Caenorhabditis elegans: one gene and its partner. The protein of the gene in region 1 binds, or shares a complex with, the protein of each later gene. Each region holds a gene or a part of one and is shown on either strand. Other genes may lie near its edges.

The links.
Region 2: the proteins of rig-5 (region 1) and zig-8 are in contact, whole or in part, in a crystal structure (PDB 6ON9), measured with the Caenorhabditis elegans proteins. Residues at the interface, in NP_001251129.1 of Caenorhabditis elegans: Ser113, His114, Met115, Val116, Ala117, Ser123, Pro124, Pro125, Arg126, Leu127, Phe130, Asp131, Lys133, Phe135, Arg136, Gln172, Asn174, Glu176, Ile178, Leu180; in NP_499714.1 of Caenorhabditis elegans: Gln32, Arg34, Glu66, Ile67, Ala68, Thr70, Asp74, Gly75, Ala76, Leu77, Ala80, Gly81, Arg83, Phe85, Arg87, Asp88, Leu117, Glu119, Ile120, Asn121, Asn125, Val127.

Annotation. Positions count from the first base shown.
Region 1 is NC_003279.8:9,571,317-9,576,159, forward strand, and holds the start of rig-5 (Ig-like domain-containing protein), read right to left. Parts: upstream 3,062-4,843; coding exon 2,833-3,061; intron 2,619-2,832; coding exon of another isoform or gene 2,543-2,618; intron 1,280-2,542; coding exon 1,164-1,279; intron 1,101-1,163; coding exon 960-1,100; intron 913-959; coding exon 834-912; intron 779-833; exon of another isoform or gene 605-778; intron 1-604. Other genes in the region: C36F7.5 (DUF236 domain-containing protein), read right to left, coding at 3,487-3,576, 3,624-3,758, 3,807-4,315, 4,386-4,539, 4,628-4,708.
Region 2 is NC_003281.10:13,117,742-13,122,835, reverse strand, and holds the start of zig-8 (Zwei Ig domain protein zig-8), read right to left. Parts: upstream 3,017-5,094; 5' UTR 2,978-3,016; coding exon 2,923-2,977; intron 1-2,922. Other genes in the region: dhhc-8 (Palmitoyltransferase), read right to left, coding at 4,147-4,190. UniProt on the Caenorhabditis elegans protein: Together with zig-5, required postembryonically to maintain the position of ASI and ASH head neuron cell bodies and ventral nerve cord axons of PVQ, PVP and HSN neurons by preventing their displacement that could occur during body growth and movement.

The DNA of each region.
Region 1 (4,843 bases):
TAAAGATGCAGTAGTATGCTTTATATTCAAGTTTTCACTCAAATCCCCATCATAGATGCTGTGCAGTCAGATAGTTATTGAAATCTTTTTATTATTTACATATTTCTACATTTCGAAAAAGTATCAAATTTCATGTGTACTTCTCCCCCTCCCTCCATGTTAAGCAGAAAAACACTAAAACTCTTCACAGAAACAAGGTTCATAATTAAAAACCAAACATTTCGAAACATCCATTATAATAAATCCATTGTTTCTAAAGGTAATTCAAGTTCAAACTTCCTTCAAGGCAATTACCTAAAATGTTTTGGTTAAACATTAAGGTATCCGCCAATGTCTTTCCATTTGGAGGTTCCCCCTATTGTATTCAGAAGCTTGTCTTCAATACTTGTCACCACCCTTTAATTACCCTTTGTGACTTCCGTTTCCCTTAGGAGCCAATAATTAAAAAGGTGTCCCTCTCCATATGTTCTTAGCTTCTCCCTTATAGAATAAAGGCTAATGTCAGTTTAGAATAAGGTCGGCAAAAAAGTGTGACCGTTCTTCAACGTAATATGTTAAAAATTTAGAAGTTCCCCGATTCGAACAAAACATTTTTTATCTCAAAAAATATCTAAAGTAAGAGCACAAAAAATTGTGTGAAGAAGGGGGAAACGGAGTCTCATTTGCATACAAATCTATTTTCACACTTGCTTCGCACTATCTCGGGTTGGGAAAGCAAACGGATTAGGATTTAGTAAGGAATGGATGAATAGAATGAGTAGTAGTAATAGTGATTTCAATTTAAATTTCGAATTTTTGTTTTTAAGAACGATTAATTCTGCAAAATGGAATACCTTTCACATCAAGTTCTCCGGTTGAAAGTGTAATTGGTTCAGTGTTGATTTGACAAGAATAATTTCCACGATCTGATTCCTGAAATTTATGAGAATTTTCTAAAACCGACACTTAAATCTCCGAACCTGAACATTTTTAATAGTGAGGACCCATTCATTGTGTAGATCTCCGATTCGCGGCTTCAATTCGTACTTGTTGCGTCGTCGAAACACTTTTTCGTCGAACGAGAGCAGCCGTGGTGGTGAGTCCGCTTTGACAAATGCTACCTATAATGGATCGGTTTTCGTGTGAGACGATGTTCTTTAGATGGGAGAAAGAATATAACAAACCATATGACTTCCAAGATCATTTACGATACACGTAAAATCAACATCTTGTCCAAGAAGAGCAACTGCACTAGACATTGATGGTTGTTGAATTGTTGGGGGAGCACCACGTGAACATGCTGAAAACTAATTTATAGACCATCTAGAGAGTAGAATGCACTTAGAACTATAATTAAACTATTTTTATGGATTGGAGCCGACTAAAGATCCAAATAAAATACTTGTTCGAATGTTTCGAAGTTTGGCCAAAATATCAGCAAATTGCCGAATTGGAAACAAATTAAGATTTTTGAGAAATTCAAAATGTTCTTGCATGTCCAACTTCTACAATTTCTAAGTAGCAATAATTGCAACGCATAAAAAATACAATTTCTCTTCACTCGCCCTAGTGGCTGTCGTTTTTTTTTGGTTTTCAACAGATTATTTATGATTTGCGTTATATTTTTGTGATTTTTCTATTTAATTGTACACACTTTGCGGTCTTTTTGAGGGTTCTGCTCTGTGAAATATCTGCTTTAAGAATATATTGAACGCCAAAATACTAGTTTTTATATGACTACCTGTCCGAATTAAAACACTGGCTAGTAATAATCCAATTGGAATTGTTTTTATTTTCACATAGAACAAACTTTTTGGATTATCCCACAGATGTTTAGTGGCTAGCATTTCTGCGATTCGAAATTTCCCAGTACAAAACAAGTATTCAGGAATTTCATAGACTACTGACTCTCACAGGTATCATTTCTTTATATTCGTCTTATTTTTGTTTTTTGCCCCTTTTCACCAATAAATTTTGAATCATTCATCATCGTTTAGCTGGAGAGGTCTTCCGATTTTGTGTCATCTATTTTAGAGACATAAAATAAAAACACGGGAGCAAATATGTTTCGGACTTTGACAAAAATTCTTATAGACAGGATATGAAAGTATGAATAATTGTCTGTCACTATAAGCTATAAGCTATAAGCTATAAGCTATAAACTATGAGTTTTTTCAAGGATTTTTCGAATAACAGTTTTATATGAGGTTTCACATGAATGAGGTCTTTTTCTACATGAAATTGCACTACAGAATATATGACGTCACGACGCACTGACTCTCCTCTCGCCCAGAGAACACCTCCAAAAAATTTGATAGATGAAAAATAAATTAGAAGAAAAGCACTGAAATAAATTACAAAAGTTCAACATACATTTTAAAAATGTAACAAAAAATGTCCGTTCTCGGAATGTCGCGAGGAAGGCGACTGAAAGGCGGGTGGACCGCGCCTCCGGTATTTTGACACTGGAAGGGAAACGTTTTCAGAGTTTAAATAAGAAAGGTACCCTGTGGTCAAACATATTCAAAGTGCTGACTATTACATAAACCTCCAAATTACTCACCATCAAAAAGGTGACACAAAATAGTAGGCAAAACTAAAATCGAGGAAGATGTCGGTGGAGTTCCATCGACAAGCATGATGGTCAATCAGAAAGTAAAATGAAAAACTTTTTGGGAATTCAGTGAGTCTCTTGGATTCTTAGAGCTGCCTTTCTTCGTTACAGCTCATTGTTAACTAATAATATCCCCTCCGCGCGAGAGTTTGATTCCAAATTTAATTTTCTAAATCTTCTATATCGAAACTCTTCTCCCCCTTTTCCTCTGGCAACAACAAAAAATGTAGAAAACTTACCCTGTTTAAAAACTAACAATACACCACAAAGAAGTGCGAATAGATACATTTTCTCTTGAAGGGGGATATGAAATAAAATGACAAAGCGACCTCTTCCTCTGAAGGTAGGTGCTCCCGAGAGGGCGGAGTCACGGGCGGTCCATTTTCCGAAAAGAAGACACAGATGGAGTCGGGAGAAATAAGGGAAGAGGGTGGAAGAGAAAAAAGAAAAAGAAGAAGACACACACATTTTATTCCTGTTTTCCGGTTAGACAAACCATGGGTAATAGCGACGATTGAGCAATGAAGAGAGCAAAAAAACTTTTTTAAAGTTGTTTTTATTGAGCGAACTAACTCATGTAAGTGAGCAATTCTGATTGTAAGACAATTATTCCAATATGATCTATAGAACATTCCAATATCCTTTTTTATCGACACATCAAACGGATACTCTAACTACTTTCAATTATCAATCCGTTGATTTCTGCAGTTAACCTAATAATAAAGTCACTTGAGAAATCAAAAATGAATTACGTACATCACCAATACAGTACAATTACAGCACAGTTTTGCAATCAGATATCCAATAAATTAATTATTTATCAAAATAAATTGTCTTCTGGAAAAAGTGAATGATCTGACGTATTTATTGGAAATGTACAAGTAATTGATCTTCTATTTTTTCTTCTTGTCAGCTCCGAACACATCTCCGCCAACAACTGCCAATGTCTGGTAGTTTGGATCCATGGTTGCTGCCTTTTGACCCTAAAAACAATAAATAATACAATATTGCAAGAAAATTAAAAATCTACCTTATTATTCGGTTGAATTGGTTTCTTTCCTCCAGGTGCACCAGCTCCTCCAACCTTCTTATCAGCTCCAAAAACATCTCCGCCAACTGCTGCCAATGTCTGATAATTTGGATCCAATGTAGCAGCTTTTTGATTCTAGAATTCAAAAATTAAAATCAAAAATCTTGAAAAAAAAAATGCAACTTTGTTCATTGGCTGAAGTGGTTTCTTTCCTCCGGCAGGTGCTCCACCAGCTCCTCCACCATCCTTTTTATCAAAAACATTGTTATTAAGACCAGCCAGCGTTTGGTAGTTTGGATCATGTGTTGCTGCTTTTGCACCGATATTTGCAGGAGCTTTTGGTCCACCAGGTGTTGCAGCAGGAGCACCTCCACCATCCTTCTTATCAAAAACATTATTATTCAATCCAGCCAATGTCTGATAATTCGGATCGTGAGTAGCTGCTTTTGCATTCTGATCAGCTGGAGCAGCTGGACCTCCACCACCTGCAGCTGGAGCAGCACCATCCTTCTTTCCAAATACGTTGTTATTCAATCCAGCCAATGTTTGATAGTTCGGGTCGTGGGTTGCTGCCATTCCGGGTTTTGCATTTGCTGGTGGAGCTGGTCCTACACCTCCTGCTCCGCCATCTTTCTTTTCGAAAACATTGTCGTTGAGTCCAGCAAGTGTTTGGTAATTTGGATCGTGCGTGGCTGAAAGTTACGAGTTTATTGATTTCAACATTTATCGAATAGACATGATTGAATGCTGTCAAATACTTACCCGCCATTGTAGGTTTTGCATTTGGAGCAGCAGGAGCTGGTGGGGCATCTTTTGATGCTGGAGTCGGTGAGCTTTCGCCCTTATCACTTTTTCCAGTTTTTCCACTTTTTGTGCTTGCTTCCGAGTTTTCCAACTTGCTACCGCCTTTCTTTTTCTGAAAATTATTCTCATTTCCAAATCATTTCCAAATTCCAAATTTCCAAAAAATCAAATCCAAATTTCCAAAATTTCGAATAAAATACCTTTCCGCACAAGAACAGAACCTGAATTGTTGCACACGAAGTGAAGAATATGTAGAAAAACGATGACATTAAATGCAGCATTTTCCTCTCTGAAAATGAGAATTTCGATTCGTCAAAAGTGAAATTTGTAAAACTTACAATGTTAAGTTGCGCGTCCAAGAGTAAAAGTTGCGAAATAACAAGGTTTTGGAAGGTAATGATTATTTTGATGCGTTT
Region 2 (5,094 bases), on another chromosome or scaffold:
TTTTTTTGAAATTTTTCCGCTATGATATTTGGTAATTTTGATGATTTCAATTTTTTTGTCTGTATTCACGTGGTGTCAGGCTTTCTCATTGCGGTTTCATCTACAAAAAGTGCGGGGAACTTTTTGCCCAAAAAAATGTGACGTCAGCACGTTTTTAACCATGCGAAATCAGTTGAAAAGTCTGCGTCTGTTCTCCCGCATTTTTTGTAGATCTAAGTAGATCAAGCCGAAATGAGACCCTCTGACACCACGTGTGTATTCAAAAATTGGGGGGGGGGGGGGAAATTAGTTTTCAGACCAATCATAGAAGTCAATCCAAAAAAAAACATTTTTTTTCCGATTTCTTTAAAACATGCTCGAAATTATTGAAAAAAAACCAGATTTTGAGATATTTTGGCAATTTACCAAAACTTTTCCTGAAACTTTTTGGAATTTTTTATTATGATATTCGGCTATGTTGAACTATTGTAAGTGCCTCTAAAATATATTCTACTTCTCTAAAACTCGATTTAAAAAGTACTAGACCTTATGACCTCCCCTCTGTACAACACAACATGACACCATCCTTGCTAAGTCCCCCCCCGCGTGTGGTAAGTTTCTTGGGATGTCTGCTCAAATTTTGTCATATTTCAAAGGGCTTTCAGGTTGTTTTGCCGCCCCGAAATGAGGCCATTAACCTGACCTCCCAGATGAAGAGAGAAATAGAGAGAATCAATTTGAAAATGATAAATGTTCTGTGGAGGATTTTTTGAAAGTTTTCGAACTTTCAGATTTTTTTAAAGGTGCGAAACCCCTAGAAACTGGGATTGTCAATGATTTTTTTTAGGTATTTTGAACTTTTTAATCATTTTTTGAAAATTTCAAAAAATGTTGTATTGTTCGAAATTGTTTAGGCACTTCAGCAAGTCACTAAACATGTCTATTTTTGATTTTTTAAATATTTTTAAACACAATACTAATTTATTTTCGGTTTTTTTATGTGGCTTATCCTAGATGGACAATTTTTCAGTTGGGCTGCCAGATTTTTGGCTTGAATAATAGCGAAAAAAATTAAAATTTTGTAATGCCAATATTGGCATTGTTAATGATTTGCAAAAGATTCAGAAAAAATTAGAATTTTTTTTTTGAAAATCTGAAGAAACTTTTGTTTCAGATTTTTCAAAAAAAAACTACTTTTTTTAACGTTTAAAAATTTTTTCATTATAATAAAACACTGCAATAACAACATTAAAATCGAAAAAAACACAGTTTTAGTGGAAATTTCAAAAATTCTATATTTAAAATGTTTTTGAAATTTTTCAGAAAATTACAAAAAAATTACTGGCAAGTAGTTAAAAATTATATTTTTAAGCACAGAAAACACCGAAAAGATTAAGATTAAGTCTGAAAGTGTTAAAATGGTTAATATTAACATTGTTAATCATTTGCCAAAGTTTTAGAAAAAATTTAAAAAAATGTTTTTTTTTGAAAATCTGAAAAATTTTTTTAAAAGTTCAAATTGCTCCTTTGCTGCTAATTTTTTTAGGAGCCTATTCAACAGGATAGTTCGAAAATGACATAGCTTGCAATGAAGTTCAATGTGATTTTTTTTTTGCAATTTTACCCAAAAAAAAGAGTTATCTTCTCAATTTTTATGAGATTTTTGCCACTTGTTCAGGCCCCACGATATATCCCAGCCGGAGAGATGTCTCTCAGGTAGAAATGGGGGACTCTCGGAGCCACGTGAAAACAACAAAGTGGCTCTTCCTCTTTCCGCTCGATTTGCTACAACTAAAACTAAAACAAAAAGTTTTCGGCCACCACCACCTGCCCTTTTTACACGCCTCGTTTCGGGAGGCTAAAGCCTGCATAATTGACACGTTTCGGAAAAGGAGCCCTTAAGCTCGGCGAGCTGGTAGTTTATTCTATATAAGTAAACTTTGAGGGAGGGCTCCGTCGAGCTCCAAGGGGCAGATGGATTGAGAATGGGATTAGTTGAGAAGAGGTAATGCGAGGATTCAAGTCAAGTGGTTGTGATCCACTTGTAAACTGAATTTCGTTTGAATTTATATATTTCTTGTTTATTTTTGAATTCAAAAATGTAAAAAGCTGATCATTTTCCAATAAAACTTCGATTTTTCGAAATCGAAGTGTGCAATCGCGCTCCAACGACAAATAAAAACCACAATAAGGGCACAGAGCGAACGGATTTCTGGCTTCCCTCCTAAATTGAAATGGAAGAGTTTGCCGAACTAGGCCATTTTTGCTCGGCCATATCTGATGTAGATTTCCGGCGCGTTGCGTGTCGCGTCGCGGCTCGCTTGTAAAACTAAATGTATTTGTCAGTGTGGAGTACACGACTTTCCCACGCGTTGTCCGACTTGTCAATGGGGCGCGAAAAGTGCAATGAGGAAGGCCAGAACTCCTTGTGAGAGCGGTTTCTACTACGTGGCTGCAAAATCAGAAAACTCGGCCACGCTTATAAAATGAATAAGGAGCATTTATTCGAACGTTGTACACTCGCTCTGTGAGGGTTTTTGAAATCAAAATGTGCAATCGCGCTCCAACACCAATAGGTCTCGTTAGGTATTTGACGGCAAAACCGGAAATTCAAAAAATTTTCTAGAATTTTTCGTTGTTTCTAGTGTTTTTTTTTTAAATTTCCAATTGATTTAACATGTTACATGTTAAACATGTTAAAAACATGTTAAAAAAAAATTTTGACACAAAAAACGCTGAAAATTCTGAATTTACAGTTTTGCCGCCAATACCTAACGAGACCCCATTAGCGCTGGAGCACGATTGCACTTCAGGGTTTGAAAACCGCGCGAAAATCGGTGGCCGAGTTTTCTAAAATCCAGGGAACTTGTGGCCTAAAAATTCCATTTTAAAAGCCACCAATTTTTCGGCGGCCACGTTAAAAATCCGAGAAAAAAAACAAACCTGTCGCATAAAGAAACGAGAATAATATCACACAAATGTTCGAAAACCTTCGCATTTTTAAAAAAGTCAACCTCCGTCGGCGGTGTCCAAATGTCCCAAAAAGTGGGCGTGGTCTGTATGTCTGCAGCAGAGTGCGCGAGAATTGGGCGGGACATCCGGGAGTTGTGTGTTGGTGAGAGAGAGAGAGGAGAGACGCAGACAGTGAAAACAAATAATTAATTAATCTTCTCTTGTTTTAATGTATACCAACATTTAGACGGCTCATTTTTTTTCGGAAAAAGAAAACACGAAAATCACAAAAATAAATACCAAATAATTCAAAGCATTGGATGAACAAAGAAGAGGAAATGATAATATTACTGTCTATTACACAGACGCGAAAAATATTGGCAGTTTTCGCGTGTATGCGCCTTTAAAGAGTACTGTAGTTTCAAAATTTCATGGCCGCGTTTGTTAAAGAATTTATGGGTTTTTTGAATATATTTAAATTTTTAAATAAATTTAAAACTAAAATATGAGAAAAACGTTGAAAAATCGATTTAAAAAATCCAAAGCAATACTTTTGAGATTACAGTACTCTTTGTCGTGTCGAGACCGGACGCAAAAATTGCCAAAAAAATTTAGCCGCGTCTGAGTAACATGAAAATCCTCCGAATATGGGTAATTCAAAATTAAAAGAATTTAGTTTTTCCAATAATTTTTAAACCAAAAAATCCAGATTTTCGAATTAAATACTCGGAAAATTTTCACATTTTCTCGCACAAAGTGGTATAGAGAGAGGGAAAAAAGACATAGAAATTCAAAAAAAAGATAAAAAACAAGCAAAGTACCAGTGATAAAGCGATAATCGTTTTTTGGATCAATGGAGTAGAGGGGGGGGGGGGGGTCGTTGTATTTAATGAGAAGCATCGGATTCGTTTTTTGAAAAATGCACAAGTTAACAATAAAACAGAGAGAGAGAGAGATTTGGGAAAAAAAAATTCAAAAAGCAACAGGAAAAGAGAATACAAAGAAAAATGATCAAAAAACAGAATTTTCAAAAAAAAAAAACCAAAATTTCAATTAATAAATATAAATGCCTAGATATGTACTTTTGTATGAGGAGAGGTGGGGCTCTGCAGAGTTGATGACGTCACACTGGTTGTTGTTGATTTCGCGCCAAAATATCGGCTAACCGTACGGCGTCCGTGAATCCACGTGGCTTTGATGATGCACCGTTGAGGATCACTGATGACGCGGTGGTGGTCTCGGCGGAAGGTGCTGTAAGACTCATGAGGGGATTAGGAGGAACGGTTAGGAGGAAATGAATTTAGACATTTTATTAGACCATTCAATTGAAATTTAATTCTAAACTTTTACAATTTCAATATTATTAAACATTCCTAAATAATTGTACATGACAGAAAATAGCCGCAAAATTTGAATTTTGCGTTTTTTTAATCATTTAAAACACAAATTTTCGTTACAAAAAATCCAAAAAAATTGCCAGATGTCGGCAAATTTGTCAAATTGTGTTTTAAATTAAAAATCACAACAAAAAAATTTAAAAAATCTATCAATATAGCTGAAAAACTAAAAAAAAATATCGAAACTATGTCTTTGTATGCGTTGGATTTCAAAAAAATCCCGAATTTTTTTTCGACAATTTTGGTGAAATTTTATAGAAAATCAATCAATCGATCTGTAAATTTTGCAAAAAAAAAATCGGCGTCGCACAGAAATAGAGGCGAGGCGTAATTTTGCAACCGTGCGGCGCGGTTTTTTCTGCTGATTTTTTCCATTAAAGGTGGAGTAGCGCCAGTGGGGAAATTGCTTTAAAACATGCCTATGGGTACCACAATGACCGAATATCATAGTAAAAAACTTCAAAAAATTTTCTAAATTTTATATGATTTTTTGAAAATTGAAAAAATCTCGAATTGCATCAAATTCCTATTTGAATTACCGCCAATTGTTCGATGTTCGATGGAGCGCGCTTGCATTATTTTAACTTTTATTTATCAATTTTTATTATTTTTGATTGATTGTTCATGTTTATCTTGAATTTTTCATTGAATTTCCAGTAAAACCACTCAAAAAAACATGAAAAATCAATCAAAAATAAGAAAAATTAATAAATAAAAGTTAAAATAATGCAAGCGCGCTCCATCGAACATCGAACTATTGGCGGTA